2 linked regions of the Daphnia pulex genome follow. The protein of the gene in region 1 purifies or fractionates together with the protein of each later gene. This does not show direct contact. Links are inferred from orthologs where the notes say so. Each region holds a gene or a part of one and is shown on either strand. Other genes may lie near its edges.

What was found. Proteins that work in one complex are often made in the same cells at the same time.
Region 2: the proteins of ubiquitin carboxyl-terminal hydrolase 48-like (region 1) and NAD-dependent protein deacetylase Sirt6-like purify together in Homo sapiens (affinity purification with mass spectrometry; 3 studies listed by BioGRID, with this or other methods). This does not show direct contact. The link is inferred for Daphnia pulex from reciprocal best matches to the Homo sapiens genes USP48 and SIRT6.

Annotation. Positions count from the first base shown.
Region 1 is NC_060018.1:12,842,979-12,850,976, reverse strand, and holds the start of ubiquitin carboxyl-terminal hydrolase 48-like, read left to right. Parts: upstream 1-2,584; 5' UTR 2,585-2,772; intron 2,773-2,834; 5' UTR 2,835-2,842; coding exon 2,843-2,976; intron 2,977-3,064; coding exon 3,065-3,418; intron 3,419-3,476; coding exon 3,477-3,659; intron 3,660-3,727; coding exon 3,728-3,976; intron 3,977-4,052; coding exon 4,053-4,219; intron 4,220-4,289; coding exon 4,290-4,397; intron 4,398-4,469; coding exon 4,470-4,705; intron 4,706-4,775; coding exon 4,776-5,006; intron 5,007-5,080; coding exon 5,081-5,241; intron 5,242-5,308; coding exon 5,309-5,486; intron 5,487-5,548; coding exon 5,549-5,738; intron 5,739-5,803; coding exon 5,804-5,928; intron 5,929-5,995; coding exon 5,996-6,174; intron 6,175-7,998. Other genes in the region: rho GTPase-activating protein 21-like, read left to right, coding at 1-237, 331-636; elongator complex protein 5-like, read right to left, coding at 1,452-1,557, 1,625-2,033, 2,098-2,409, 2,468-2,519.
Region 2 is NC_060017.1:7,951,267-7,959,282, forward strand, and holds NAD-dependent protein deacetylase Sirt6-like, read right to left. Parts: upstream 4,961-8,016; 5' UTR 4,844-4,960; coding exon 4,778-4,843; intron 4,698-4,777; coding exon 4,570-4,697; intron 4,412-4,569; coding exon 4,169-4,411; intron 4,104-4,168; coding exon 3,930-4,103; intron 3,865-3,929; coding exon 3,741-3,864; intron 3,670-3,740; coding exon 3,187-3,669; 3' UTR 2,687-3,186; downstream 1-2,686. Other genes in the region: cyanophycinase-like, read right to left, coding at 340-653, 722-854, 921-1,029, 1,093-1,283, 1,350-1,685, 1,769-1,909; ion transport peptide-like, read right to left, coding at 5,291-5,502, 5,883-6,007, 6,103-6,350; protein disulfide-isomerase A5-like, read left to right, coding at 7,427-7,486, 7,553-7,782, 7,849-8,016. UniProt on the Homo sapiens protein: NAD-dependent protein deacetylase, deacylase and mono-ADP-ribosyltransferase that plays an essential role in DNA damage repair, telomere maintenance, metabolic homeostasis, inflammation, tumorigenesis and aging.

The sequences.
Region 1 (7,998 bases):
AACAGCAAACAGCCGAGCGTGAGACGCGAGTCGAAAAGCGCCGAGGTCGTTGGCAAGGGCGTCAAGCGCTCCGACTCGTTGACCAAGAACGAGAAGACGGAGAGCAACACGAAAGCGCGCGAGCGGGAAATGAGGCAGACGGGCGGCCAGAAAACGGCCAAGAAATTCGTCCAACGGAGCGGCGAGTCTGGGCTCAAGCGGCGCCACACGGTCGGCGGCACTCGCGATTTCGACAAGGTGATTTTTTCAACTCGGTTCCCATTCCACTCGTCGTCGATCCCTTTTGCCCAACGTGTGTTCCAGGAGTTTGATACGATTTGCTTGCCAAAGGTGCGGATCCGCTGGCTGGCCGACAAAAGTGATGAGAGAAACGTCATTCCGGCTCCACGCTGGTCGGCCTGGGACCGTCTCCAGCCCTTGATTAGCGACGAGGATCTCAACGTGGACCGCAGTCTCAAGACGTGGATGCGCAGCGAGCGCATCAGGACCAGCTCGCCGGAATTGTGTCGCAGATCAGAAATGGCCTGCGCCACCATCATCAACAACAGTTTGTCGCCACCGCCACTAACTGATTCGCAGCCACTCGAGGCCCCCTCGTCTGCCATCCGAGCGGATGGAGACGTTTCCAGCCCGTGAAAAAATGAAACGGTGTGGCAGTCAAAAGAAAGAATATTGACGTTTTGCATGGGGAAATTCTAAATAATAAATCAGAAAATTCTATTTTTAAAAAAAGTTTAAGAAAAAAGGAGAAAGTAAAAAAAAATGTCCGTTGATGGCGGGAATTTGTTGTTTCGAATGACATCAAATGACTTTTCATTTTTTTCTTTTCTTTTTCATTCAAACAAAAAAAAAAAAATGTTCAATGTAAATGTTTTTCTGTTCGTGTTGATTGTGTACAGATGAAAATAGTAGTGCGTCGCGTCGGTCGGGTTCCTCCACCCCCCCCCCACCCCTACCACCACCACCCTTAAAAGCTGTGATGATAATTTTTATTTTTTACCAAAAACAAAAAGTGTACATTCAAAACAAAAAATCATGGCTCTCTTATGGCGCGGCACGATCGTCTGCCCGTCGTTGGCCCATTCGCACGCACTTTCGCCATTTTGTAATGTTCTGAAAACATGTTTCCTCCCGTGAAAAAAACAAACAAAAATATTGTGTAGTACAGTGATTTACATAACGACCTTCTTTAACCTGAATTATTTGATTATATATGGGATTAGTACGCTTGACGTGCCGTCCATTCATTTTCTTGCTCTCTATATATCTCTTGTTGCGTCAGCCATGACAGAAACTTTTAACAAGACAAGATATAATAAAAGAGAAAATAAAACTAAAAAGGCATATGGCAATTTTTGGATGCCACAAGAATAAAACGTGACAAATGAAATTACACTGATTTAAATTCAAGTTGAACTTTTTTTATTGAAATTTAATACCAAGTGAATTGTTTAGATTTCGAGATCGTCGTCAGGGTCTTCGTCGTCCCAATCGGGTGCTTCCACTTCGTAAATGATTTTACCCCTGGACGGTTCGCTTGATGACTCGTTGTGCTTTCTAAATTTATCAAAAATTAGCGCTTAATATTAGATTGTGTTGAAATGGAGATGTATGTCGATGTTACTTGATGTAAGGTAAAACGACCTGACTCCTAGCCTGTTCTTCTCTGGCATTCAAATCTAATTTGAAAGTTGACTTTGGTACTGCACTTTTTGGTAAAGAGTCTGGCATAACTGCAGGTTGAGTTTCAATAAACTCTTTGACATCTTTCAACTCCCATTTATCTGTGATGCTGTAATATTCATCCTGTGCAAAAAAAAAATAATTCAAATTTAAATTTTTGCTACACGAGAAACAAGTACTCTTTACACTATCAGTAATTTTTCCACTGGCTTTCCTCCATGTGCCACTGCAGAGGTTGCGTCCCTGTGCTCTGCGAACAGCCAGGTGACAAGGGAATATGTAATTCAGTGCTTGCAGAGTGTGCTTATCATGGACATCACCATGAACTAGGGCAATCACAGATACTGTTGCTAGAAACCATTTCAAATAGAGTTTATATAAAGCTGTAAAATTACACAGGTTGCACAATCTTACTTGTCTTTTGTAAATTCCTCAAGGCTGACGCAATTGCCCCAACAGTCCAATTCAGAAGCAGGGGTGACAGCGAGTCTATCGCAACCAAAACCTGGTCATTTCTCGCTTCTGATGTCCAAGAATTTTCGACTGACATTAAATCTTGATTCCCATCCACAATGGATGTTTTCCACGAAATTTTTAATTGTTCCATTTCGGTAATTTCAGAAGATAGAGGTGAATCGTATTTGAAGTAACGAATGGAATAGCCATTCTCGGAATAGTGACGAATTAAACTTAAGAACAAAGGTCGTCCTTTAAGTGAACACGAATCTAAGGATTAAAAAAAAAATTGTAATAAGGATTATGTTGTCAAAAATATCCAATTAACCTTGAATTAGAGTAGAAACGGGAGGCTGAGTTAAAATGTCTTTCAAAATCATTTTCGTCGAACACTGCACGAGGCCGTTCGTCGTCTGCTTGTTATTGTTTATTCGTGCATCGTGATTTGCCGCTTAGGTAATAGATGGCAGCAGATTAGCGAAGGAAATGAAGTGAACAATTTTATGCTTCGTTCCTCCTAAAAACCCGGTGTTTTGGGTTGATTGTTCAATTTGACATTGTTTATTTCCTTATTAAAAATTGTTGAAAGGCTGGTTTTGTAGCTTTCATTAGACCTTTACTCTTCGTTTCATGGTTTGTTCACGCTAAAATGTTTTCATCCAACATGTGAGTTGCCCAACTGTTTACCTTTTCAGCCTAGGTCATGTCTAAAATGGACCAGGCTTCCAAAGAAGCATGGCAGTGGGTTGAAAGCACAGAAGCTGGAGCCATAACAATTGATCATATTCAGACTTCGTACAGGCTAAAAGTTGCCACTTGCAAACCTGGAAAATGCAAGTAAGTATTCATCTTGCTAGAACTTACCGAACTTACTTCTGTACTCCCAGACCAGAAAAGAAAAAATAATGCTTCCTCTCATTTGAAGGAAAAACTGCAAAATAAACCCCCGGTGCCTTGTTGGACTAGGAGAGAAGGTATGGTTGGAAGATTTGAAGGTGACTGAAGAAGAACAAGAGGACCCTTGTGACATTGTGCGGAAAGAGGGCAATTTCGTTGGGCTGACCAATCTGGGAGCAACTTGCTATATCAATAGCCTCCTGCAGCTCTGGTTCCACAACCCCATATTTCGTAAAGCAATCTACTCCTGGGTTCCATTCTTTGATCCATCAGAGAAAGAAAACAAAACTCTTGACCTGCTAGGAATGGGGGGTTTCATTCCAAATTCCCCAGTGGGTAAACTACAACTGCTGTTTGCTCAAATGCAATTTTCTAAAAGAAGGTATCTTCAATGTTCCGTTTACCAAATGTGATTTTCAAACTGACTCTTTTTTTTCCAGTTGTGTTAACCCAACATCACTGATCACCTCACTCGGGATTGACACCACCACCCAGCAAGATGCCCAAGAATTTTCTAAATTGTTTCTTAACCTGTTAGAAGACAAACTCTCACTCCAAACAGACACGACAGTTTCTACCATGGTTTATGATCAGTTCAGAGGAGAATATGAATATGTAACAAGGTAATTTGGTTCTTGTACAACCATATAGAATTGTTAAATATAAAGAATGGATTTCTACAAATTTCTAGGTGTTCAAAATGCCAAAAGGAGTCATCAAGTCCTTCAGCTTTCTACGAGTTGGACTTGAGCCTTGGTAGTAAGAGCGACGTTACGTTGGACGAATGTCTTGCCGAGTTTTTGCATGAAGAAAAACTAGAAGGGACAGACCAGTACTTTTGTGAAAACTGCAGTAGCAAACAGAATGCGACGCGGAGCATTCGCCTTCGTCACTTGCCCGCCATGCTCAACATTCAACTCTTGCGATTCGTTTTTGATCGGTACCGACATTGATTAAAGAATCTCTAGAAAGCATGACGACGTTTTTTTTAATATTCACATTTCTTGCCAATGTAGGAAAACTGGACTGAAGAAGAAAGTCAGTTCCATGGTGCATTTTCCTTTTGTCGTCGAAATGTCAAACTACGTCAAAACTCAGGGTGTGGAACCTAGCAGTCTTACTTACGACCTTTCGGCCGTATTAATTCACCGAGGACCCAGCGCCTACAGCGGGCATTATATAGGTGAGAAGCTTTTCATTATCCTGATTCTAGTCAATATTTATTTCCTTGACGTCTACTTTTTATTTTGCAGCACACATTAAGGACCCAGTAACTGGAACTTGGTACAAGTTTAACGACGAAGTTGTGCAAAAGATTGAGGGCACCAATTTCAAATTGGGAATCGAAGAAGACTTGGAAGGTAATGTATCACTGTGTGTGTTTGGAAGTAATTAAAGCTAAATTTTTCCGTCTTTTACATTTCATTTGCAAGATTCTAAAAAAGGTCGAGCTGGTGCCAAAGTTACTAAAGGGAGTCATGGTTCCAGCAACGCATACATGCTCGTGTATAGTCGACGGGATGCTGCCAAACCAGAAAGCGTTCCTGCTTGCTCTACAACCCCATCGCTGTCAGATCCCTGTTCTGTTCTGCCTCCCTGGGTTCAAACTACTATCTTTAACGAAAATGAAAACTTCGAAGCCTGGACCCGGGACACAGTCTCTCGGAAAGTAAATCATTAAACATTCTCATTTTCATGTTTTTTCTATTGATTGTAAAGCTAATGCATTTTCTCACTAGGACGAAAGTTTGAAGAAGAGTAGAGAGAAGCATTCCAAAATGAGACGTTTATACGGCAGTCTTCCGTGCAACTCGCTGGATCAAGGTGAATTTATACCTACCCAGTGGCTGTCGAGTTGGCTGGGAAATGACGAGAAGTTAAGACCAATTGACAATTCCATTTTACTCTGTGAGCACGGCAAACTGAACCCAGAGAAATTCCGAGAATACAAACTCGTTTCTTCCAGCGCGGTAAATGAGTTTGTCGCGGTAACTTTGATTATCGATTATCAAAACTTAACATTTCCTATTGACTTTCCTCAAAGGCTGACGAGTTGTACGCCGAATATTCTGGTGGCAGACGTCTGAACATCAACGACCTGTGCTGGGACTGCGTTACGACTAAATGCATCACGAGTCAACTTCGGTCTCAACTGGACAACGAAAGCAAATTGATTGCAAATCTGCTGAAAAGCAAAATCGATCCGTAATGAACTTTAAAAACTCTTTTTCTGATGGTGCCTTTCTAATCAATTGTTATTCGTTATTCGCAGAAACCAACCCGCATTCTGGATCGGCAAGGAATCTTTACGCTCCTGGAAGAAAATGGTGCTCGAGCGGATGGTGAATTCTGAACGGGAATCGATGAAAGTAAAAAATGGCGTCGATAGTGCTACCAATCAAATCGAAGAAGCAACCATTTCCGATCTGCCCATCACATCGAAACATAAGGTAGACTATCCGTCTTTTAAAAAAGCCGATCAAATGTGTAACATAACGCCATTTTTTACCAGATGGAAAGAAAGCGAAGCAACGGGCAGTATAATGGAAGCCGTTCGATTGTTTCGGAACGTTTTGATCGGCAACCAGATCGAAGCGAGTGGCAAGTTGAGTTTGAAAAAACGTTGGAATGGGAAAACAGGCCCTCGTCTGCGTCTTCTGTAGGAGAAATAGGATTCAATGAAGACCTATTATGCCCTCACGGTATGTTCATATCAAATTCCATCCGCTAACAGTGAATTGATCAAAGACGTTTTATTTGATTCTAGATAAACTAACTGCCGATGAAGGACCACGTAGGCTGATCCATTCGGCTGTTTGGGAAATACTACATCGTCACTTTCCCGAAGCCATTGAATTTTCCTCATCTGAACCCCCCTGCGAAAAGTGCATTGTAAATATTGAAAGGACACCATTGCCGGTTGCTTGCATTATTTTAATTCTTGAATTCCTCACGACAGAGAATGGCGGAACAAGAAGGTCAGACCAAGGAGTCGAACCGACTGTTGGCCATGGAACAAAAATCGTTGCTTCAGGATCTGTTTCGATCTAAAAACCGTCCGGATCCTTTTGCGGTACAAAATGGCGAAATTTACGTCATCGCCAAGGAAGTGATCGACAAGTGGAGATCCTTTGTCAGGTATGTGTGTGTTTCATTTCTGTAGTGTAGGAGAGTTGACTGGTGTGAGCGATGCACTACAGTGGCCTTGTGTTGTCGTTCCTTGTCGTACTTTCTCTCTCCTCGATGGAGTTGTATTTTTACTCGATTTGTCACAAGTTGGGCCCCATGCCGACGAGCGCTTGATGGATCGGGTTCTTTGTTTTGTGCCAGCTCTTCTATCTTCCTGCAGCCCTGCCTTCTTCCCTTTTTTTTCTTTTCTGTATCTCTCTCTCCTCGACCCTCGCTTTATTTTTTCTCGTTTTCGGTACTTTTTGGCGTTGTTTTTTGGGTGTTTCTATTGCGCATCTGAGGATCGTCGTAGGTTCTTTGGGTATCAGGCAAAGAGTATGGTCCAGTGATTACGCTATTGCGCCCTTTGTTGATTCAGCTGCGTCTGTTGTCACCCCGCTGTGCCTAGATTGTTTCCAGCCAGAGGTTTTCCGACTCCTCCGAGTTGAGTTACCTAGGCTAGGCTCGGTTGCGAATTGACGGCCGAGTGAAGTGGGCGGAGGAGAAGAAGAAGAGCTTCGCTTGTTTCCTTCTATCTTGACATTGGCATTGGCTTCTCGTGTTTTATTTTGTTTGGATTTGTTTTTTCTTCTTCTTTTTTTCTCGTATTATTTTTTTGCTATTGGCGCGTGAGTGGCGCACTCGAGAGAAAGAAGCGCATCTGACATCTTGACTGAACGTTTGGCATGTCGTGCCAAGAAACGATGCTGCCTGGGATGGCAGGCACGCCTTGCGCCTCGCTTGTAGGAGGGAAATAAATAATGTTGTATCATTATTATTCTCGTAGATTCCCGTTTGATCGGCTAAACATTTAGGGCGCTCTCCATCATCCGGATGAGTTTGTCAACGATAGAGACTTGAAAGACACAACCATCCAGGCAAAAGTCCCGTTCCTATCCGTCCTCGACGTTCTGTCAATCCCACCCTTTTTTTCTTTCTCTCTTTTTTACTTATCGGATTTTTTCGTTCGGTTTGTTGTGCATTATCAGCTTCGATGACTTGCTCTCATTCCCCAATGCACTCGGTCGCGGAAGGAAGCGCATCTCCATTTCTTACTCCTCCGTCCTCCTCCTCCCCCCTTTTGTTGTTCTTGTTGTTGTTGTTTTTTTGGAGGGGATTTATTTATTCACGTTACGGGAGAAAATCCGGAACTGTTGGCTCTCTATCGGAAAGTATCCCAATATAGTCGAATGCCGTAGATTGTTACGGTGTGTTGGCAATGTCGCTGTCGTGTCTCCAGACCCCGCAGTCACACACACAATGAAAGGAATGCCATCAAGCGTTTCGCCAGTCGATAGAGACGGATTGAAATCAAACGGGAATCACGCGACGCCACGTTTCGGGGTAACACGATGGAATTGCCAGTGTGTGTGCATGCCGGCCATCTTTCTTTTCTCCTTTTTCCCCTCCGCACTCAAATAATCCCCGACATTGATGATTCAGATTGCATTTCTTTCTCTCCACTTTGGACTCTTTTGTCTCTCCAGAAATATTCGCTCGTCTTTCATCTTCGCGTCTAGTCCAGTCAGGACGATCAAACGAAATTGAATCGACTAGACGGAAACTTTGACGGAATAAAAAATGTACAGGCCTAGCTTATCTGGGTTAACCCATTTTCTGACAAGTCAATCGAATCCATTTCTTTTCCTCGAGTAGCCATCAGCGGTTTGGTTCTTTTCCAGTTTGATTCGGTAAATCCATCACTAACCAATAATGAGCCACCAGAGATCAGCCGATCGACGACGACCGTTTGTTAAAGGAAAAAAAAAAAGAATATTCGATTTCAACCAGAGT
Region 2 (8,016 bases), on another chromosome or scaffold:
ATATGGTACGGCTAAGGGACGTGTTTACCCAGTGTCACATTCTGGGTTTTGTAGTTATTTACGTCTAAGTTCAGGCGATTAGTAGTAAGGTAGTATATTTTTATTCGTCTTATTTAAGCGCGTTAACACTGACAAGTAAAAATATGTCTTTTATACTCTCATATGTTTCCTTTTTTAGCTAGAAGATTTCAATTTTCAAAGTTTGAAATAAAATAAAAAGAATCCGATCATTTTGATTTTGCAGATAAACAACTGAATCAGTGTATTAGTAAACTACTGTAGAGCCCCTAAAGCTCATTTTCGTGTGTTCTAGGAAAGCGCCAAAAGCCTATGTCACATTTAACCAATAGTTGTACTTTCATGGATTGCAACTTGGAGGTTTTCGTAGGACACAACGAATGTGCTGGGATCGCTAGGAAAATATCCGCCGTATCCAGCACCATTCAGACGGTCAAAAGTAACTTCGAATCGGGGATCCCTCTCGAAAGATAAATGAGCGATGAAATCATCTCTTCTATTGTCAAAAAACTGGTCGGCAAAGGTAGCCCATCGACGATTCAAATTTGCGGATAGAATATCAGTGGACACGTCGGCGTTCGTGTAATATTCGTTACCTCTCAGGGGAGACTTCCAACTTGCAAATGTGATTTTTCCTAATATCAAATTGATTACGTTAACTTGTGCCCAAATTTATCCACTTGAAAATGTTGATTTTGTATACCAGTGGTGAGATCAATCGAGTCGTCCTGAGTTAGGTAGTGGGCTGAAACCCCCGTGTAAAAAGTATTCTGAGATGGAACAACCACCGTGTTGGTAACATCAGCAAAAAACACGCCTCCACTAGTACCGATAACCTATTTGTCAATTGCTGTAAAATCTTTTGAACAGAAACTGAAACTACAAGATGTTTTCCATCATACAGTTCCGACAGGTTTTGTGTACAAATCCGTGACGACAAGGCCCATATCTTCATCCACACCAAAGCCTCGAGGAGTTCCGATATCACGGCCCTTGGTATCCTGCAACAACCTGTTGGAATTTTTTTAAATATAAAGGTAAGATGATTTTTATATTTAGTAGCTAGAGACCAACCGAATGAGGCGACCTTCTCGACCACGCTCGCTGAAATGCGTATCAGTTACCCAGCCAGCGTCTAGTAAACCTAGTCCACCCTTTTCATCGTAAGTTAGGTCATTTGAACGAAGTGGTTTAGGTCCTCCACTGAAAGCCCCATAAGTCAAAGCATCCCAACTAGCGCCACTTGTGATCATGACAGCCGAGCTCTAAAATTCAGTTATACAAATTTCATTCTTTAAATGAAGTAGGGGTCAAAATGTTAAATCGAATACTTGGCAAGCGGTCCCGGCACTGGTTCCTCCCACTACTGCGCCAGCTTTTAGCATATCTTTGACAGCAGTTAGAACTAGCGTGTCTCTGCCGTTAGGACGAAGGGCTGTAAGAATCCTCAGTTGATCGCCTCCACCGAAGAAAAATCCAGTTTGTTGTCTTGCCAGTTCGGCTACGGATGGGTCGTCGGCATTGTTACTAGTTTCAGTAACTGGAATATACGTCGCGCTGGCCGCCCCGTACACGTTCACGAACATATCAACATAGTACTCAGCCGCTCCTATGGGATCTGAAGATGCCGTAGTGAATATCCCGATCTTGGCCACACCTTTCCCTCCCTTGAAAGGAAATTAGAAATTAATTATAAAATTATAGACATGCACATACTGTACTCTTGTGAATTAGAATTTGTTATTCGTACCGCAAGCGTGACCACTTTGTTCCAAATTTCGGCATTTCCGTCGGTTAGGCCGCCTCCAACTAGCACTAGGCTCTGAGAGGAAACAAGGCCCAAAAATGTTGCCGTTAGAATATTTAATAATAATAGTTTCATCGCGAACATAAAACGCACTACTGAACGTTTAGGTCGTTAGTTCCCTACTGCAGATTATATCCCCTAAATGTTGGGTTGCGTGAATAATATTTGACAAGACAAGAGATAGTAGGCTAATGGAGATAATCAATTTGACGTCAAACTAGTTGCATAAAAATAAAATAAACAAAAAACATTCGAGTTTGTACGAGTTTGTACTCGATGTTTAGTTCATATACAGTCAACGAGAAATCAATTCGTGATTATTTCAACATGGAGAAGGCGCAATAAGTTTCGATTTTCTTTGCTTTAATCGAATCATGTTGCTACACGTCTATGAATATTGTACCTCCACTTAAGTTTAGAGGCCTGTTGACTGTTGAGGATATGTAATCATTTGAAAGGAATACGGACACAGTGACGTTTGCAGATGTGTAAATATTACAACGTTAAGCAAGTTTACTTTTGTGTTGCCTCTTGCTGTCTAATCATCAGTAGGTAAACATGACAAAAAAGCGAAAGAAAGATATGAAGTGAAACGAATGAAAACGAATTTTTGTTTGTTTTATTAATTTTAATTTTTTTTCACTACAATTTGCAGTGACAATTTGAGGAAATAATGCCACGCCCCTGCTCATTTCATCAGAGCCTCTTGAGAAATCACAGACCAGAAACAGATCTCCGGTAGAAATTTGAATAAGGTAGGTGGTTAGTAAATCGTTATTCATTGTAGACATGAAACACTGATATGATAGTTTAGACTTATCCATCAAAATCCGATTTTATTCCCAACATACTGTAGCGACATTCATTTTGACAATAATTTATTGTTTTTTTAAAGAACAATAAGTTATACAGTAGTTTTTCCTGATACTGCTTGGATTAGAAAAACAAAAGAATATCATATTTTCAGAATTCCGGATCAATTTCTTTCTATTTAGTTTAGGAGGATATAAAAGTAATCGCATTAAAAATCAGAACAAGGTGATGTCTGGCGAGTGGCGACAGATCTAATATCAATACAGAAACGCTAGACAAACTCAAATAAGGGTACGAAGTTGATCTCTTGCCTTCAAGACAGTCTGTGGGCAAGCAAAAAAAAAACACAGCGAAACCAAAAGTCACGTGAAATAAAACGAACAGAGTAGAAATAAAACGAAAGTTTGGAGGGGTAGGGATTCCACGTTGGATGAGACCGTCTATGAAATGCAATTAACGCGTTGGATTTCTTTATTGTCGACACATTTTTATGTAGATAATTTCCCTGTTATTATGCACATTTTCAGTAACTATGACTTCACGATGGATTACACACTCCCATTTTCCTGTAGCAACTGAGCGGACTCTTGTTTAACGATTGTTTCAGATTGGTTAACTAGATCGTCATTTTGTTTTTCTTCTTTTAAATTCGTGATTTCATCTCCAGTTTCTTCAACTTTGACAGAGTCCACCTCCGCATCTTGTTTACTACCTTCCCCACTAGCGTTGGCGGAGTTGTTGGTTTGGCAAGGAATTGGCTTCTCTTGGTTTTTGTCTTTTGTTTTCTTGGCCTTAGGCTCGGCTTTATTTTCCGGGTGTGAAAGTCGTTTGCGTGTTGTACTGACTGCACGAGCCCCGAGTGTCCACTCTCGTTTTGTAAATTCTTCCTGCCACATTTCCTTTTCACTTAGCGGTTGACGGGTAGGATCACATTTGGGATCGTAAGGCAACCAAGGGGTGTTCAATTCTTTGAGCAGTAACTTCATCACGTCATCCACATAAGTATTGATGACCAGATCGGCTTTCTTGTCCTAAGAAACCAATAAAAAAAAGAGGAAATTCAAAATGAACGGCTAAATAAGTATATTTTATAATGAATTACCCATTTTGTAGGCTGCAAATTTATGATGACGAGACGGCCTCCTTTACGTTTCGTTGCTAATGGTAGTGTACCACTGGGGACTATTTGCAAAGTTGTTCCCAAGCAAATACTTAAGTCTGCGACACTTTTAGTTTCAAAATTAAATTAGTGAAACTCTTCATAGTTATTCAACCAATCCAAATGACTAACTTTGAATGAATGTCTGCCAATCCTAAATCTCTGGTTGGTAGTTCGTGTTCCCAATCAAGTATAGTGTCGTGTAGCTTTCCTCTACATGAAAGTTTGCCTCCTTTCAAGGCAGGGCAATCAACTGGTAATTCCCGCTGACCTACAGAAGTTACGGCTTTTCGGCGAATGTACTGCCTGTAAAGCAATATCGATTGTTATAAACACATGGCCATGCCCAAGTTTGTTTTCTTGTTCCTTACCTAGAACACAGGCTACATTGTCCGATGAACATATTGCCATGCAGCTCTGAGAGTTTTGTTCTGTCTAATCCTGATTTTAAATGAAGGCCATCAATATTTTGGCTAACAACATAGTGCAGATAGTTTGTTTGGAATAATGAAATAATCGCCATATGTGTGAATGTTGGTTCTGCATCATCAAACGAAACATTGATTTGTGGTTTCAGGCCTTTTTTCTCCAACGTCCACACACCTTTAGGGCCCCTGTAAAAAAAGTAGATATAAACTCTAATTACAGTAAAACTAGATATGGGTTTTTGTGTGAATATGTAAGAAGAATACTTGTAAAAACAGTATGCATGATCCCTATTGTATTTTGCATAGTGTTTAGTGAATTTGACCATAGTCTTTTATTGGTATACCTGAAATCGGGGATTCCTGCTGGTGTACTTATGCCAGCACCAGTGTGCATGACTACATGCTTAGCTTCTTTTATCCATTTGGCTAAAATTAAAATTTTTCCAGCAACCTCATCCAAACTGTCAAATTTCTGTTAATGACAGAACATTTCTTATTAGTAGGCGGAAAAATCACATCAATAACTAAGAAATTTATGAAATATGATAATACCTCAGGTATTCCTAATTTACCCTTGTCTTCGTACGGCGATAACCCATCAGCATAATTGCAAGACATGTTTTATATGTAACAAACTTCACTTTGTTTTTTTGTGATTTTAATGAAGCTAGTAAACGTCAACAATTCCCGTACTAACACAAACAAACTAGCGGCCGTCATTCAAGTCAAACTACACAGGGGCACCAATTTTCTAATAAATAAATATATTGAAATTTTACTTCCACGTAAAATGGGAAAATTATTTGTATTTAAATAAGAATAAAATAAGAGAAGCTTGAAAATTTGAAAATGCGTAATACTTTTTTAAATGCTGCTTTCTAAGTAACACCTGCCCCTGCCTAGATGAGCGCGTGTCAAAATTTTTCAAAATTAAAACTTGACTTCAACTTCGCAAATCGCAACCCGCAAAGTTACATTCGTAAATTTCTGTAACTCGTTTCTAGAGATTTACAAATAACGAGCATTTCCTGTATGAACAATTAATAAAAGTTAAAACAGATTTTTTTAGTATGCTGCACAATGGAAATAGCATTTGTAATATATTTGACTCTGTGATACAATCAGAATACAACACCAAACTTGCCCGGGGAAAACGTTAACGACACGGTAATACTGAGAAATCACTTGGTTTACACGGTAAACTACATGGAATCCTAGTGCCTGTAAGCTAACTGTAACTCTAAGCATAATGCAGTCTGGGTTTTCAATTATGATTCCTTAACTGATCGTAAGAAACAAATAAATTACCAACATATGTATGACTAGTGGGTAGAAGTGTAGTATGTGTCGTGTTGGCTAAAGGCTACGTCTACAGTAACAGTTTTTACAGACAAGTTACGGTCGTAATTCGGTTTCAACCGAATCTGTAAGTCTGTATGTCTGTAAAAACTGCTAGTGGCGACGCACCAAAAAGTTAAGTTAAAAAGGAGAAGGTCGATTTCATTTAAATCACAATCACTGACAGGAACAAACTAGAGAACGTTCGGAAAGCCCTGAAATTTTTATACAAATCAGCAAGAGTTTTGTCAGGATTAGTCGAAGAGCTTTTTACTTAGTCAAGAACATGTAAACTTACTAGAAACTTGTCGGGATTAATTTTCCTTGGGTGATTCCATTTGTCGGTGAATAATGGATAAATCTTCCAAGATTTTGTCTTTTTTATCAGTTATTTGTAGAACAGCCAAGCAACCTCCAAAATATTCGGAAGTAAAGCAATCCTTTCTGCAAAGATAAATAAATTGCGGTAATTTTTTTTTCGGAAGTATATGTTGTTAACCAAGTACTATAAAATCTATAAGCTTATGCGAATTCATTACCGGCACCCGCGATAAATTTCCGGTTGTCGATAAAGGTTGTAGCAGTTCAAACATATTTGATTAAATTGGGCATAAATATTCATGTCATAAACACCTTCACATTTACTAATTTCAGTAAACGAGTGCTTAGAAAGTGGATGCGGAAAAATTGAAATTCCGGGTGGTTGCTCCGCCAAAATTAAAGATGCCATGATTAGTAAAACTACCAGCCTAGTTTTAGCCGATTTGTTAAGAAGTTGAAAAGCCATTGCAGATTTTAAAGCAGCGCAATATCTGGTAACATACAGTCAGCATTAACTAATAAATAATTTTTAAAAATTTCTTAGCCGAATGAAATCAAATCTGTACATTACCTTTGATAGTGATCAGTTGGAGAACTCTTCCGTCAACAAGATTCCAAAACGTTCTACCGTGGATGTGAGTATTCATTCCAGCTTTTATAGCGTCTCAGAAATGCAACTCAAAATGAATGATGGGTTACACAAATTGTTAGTTAATTATATGATTACCGGAAAGCACGGTTTGGTGCCTCCTTAAACTTTTGTTCATTACATCCCTTGCGCTTGTATCTGCATTAGTCTACTAAATGTGAATGTTGTGGACCATGAATACAAATTTAAAATGAGGCGCACCGTTTAGTGATTATTTTGATCGTGGACGTCATTACGTACATTGAATGCGGACAATTTTATTGTACGGATTCAATGAAGAAATTTCAAAACAACATAATTGTTTTTTATATGCTTGTACAGAACCAGTTAAAGGGTAAACGCATAAATACCGGTAAATTGACGTACTCTATTTTGCAACCCCACTCTCCTCCCAGCATGAGCAATTTTTCAGAATCTAACAGTAGTTACTAACTTACTACCTGTGGAGCTTCTAACCATAATCATGAGATTGTTAAGAACCCTCGGTTAATAATATTTTAACGAAATACTAAAATTTGACTAAGATTTTTTTTTAAATTACTCACTGTATTACATCTAACATAAGACTTTCTTCTGCAGGTAGGGCCTATGCAACATGTCAATCTTCAATGTTTTATTCCCTTCTTGTCATTTTATTAATGTAGGCCTTTAATCAGTGGGAGTCTACCTGGAACCCTAAGTCGCCTAAGTCCCTAAGCATGCCTTTATAAGAATCAAGTTTTCCGCGGTGTGTTGCGTTGTCGTAAATTGAAATTTTTTGGCGTTCTACAGTTGTAGTTGTACTCGCCAGGTGGTGTGTATTGCATTGACGACCGGTTCTTTTGACTGGCAATCCAAGGATGACGTTTGTCTAGAGGTTTTCGAATAATTTTATATAAATCGGAATTTGGTGTATGAGTTTTTCATATTATATCCTAAGTATTTCTACCAAAATGAAGATCACGTTGTTTTTCGTAAGAATTACTCTATATTAAAATCTATTTCGTTTTGTAGTCTAATGAGTGTTTTATTCATGAAAGGTATTTTGCATGTTGTTCTTCAGCTGTTGTGGGAAAAAAGCCGGTCAGAAATCCACCCTCGACGAGGTTTCAGACTTGAAAGAATTCAAAAAGCTTTTGAAGACACGGACAAGTGTTTTAGTTTGCTTCACCAAATCGTTGAAAGATTCATCAAATGTGATCAAGCAATTAGCTGAAGTTGCCGATATTGTTCGTGGAACTGGAACAATTGTTACAGCTGACTGTGGAGGGTACTTTTCTTGTTTTGCACATTTATAATATTTTGTTTTGGCTGAACTCGTTTTATGCTCAAATAGTGAAGGGAAAAAACTCTGTAAGAGTTTAAAAATCAAACCTGAGCCACGAGTACTTAAGCACTACAAGGATGGTGAATTTCACAAAGACTATGATAGGAAGGAAAGTGTCCCTTCTTTCATTGCTTTCATGAAAGACCCTGGAGGAGACGCCCCATGGGAAGAAGATGA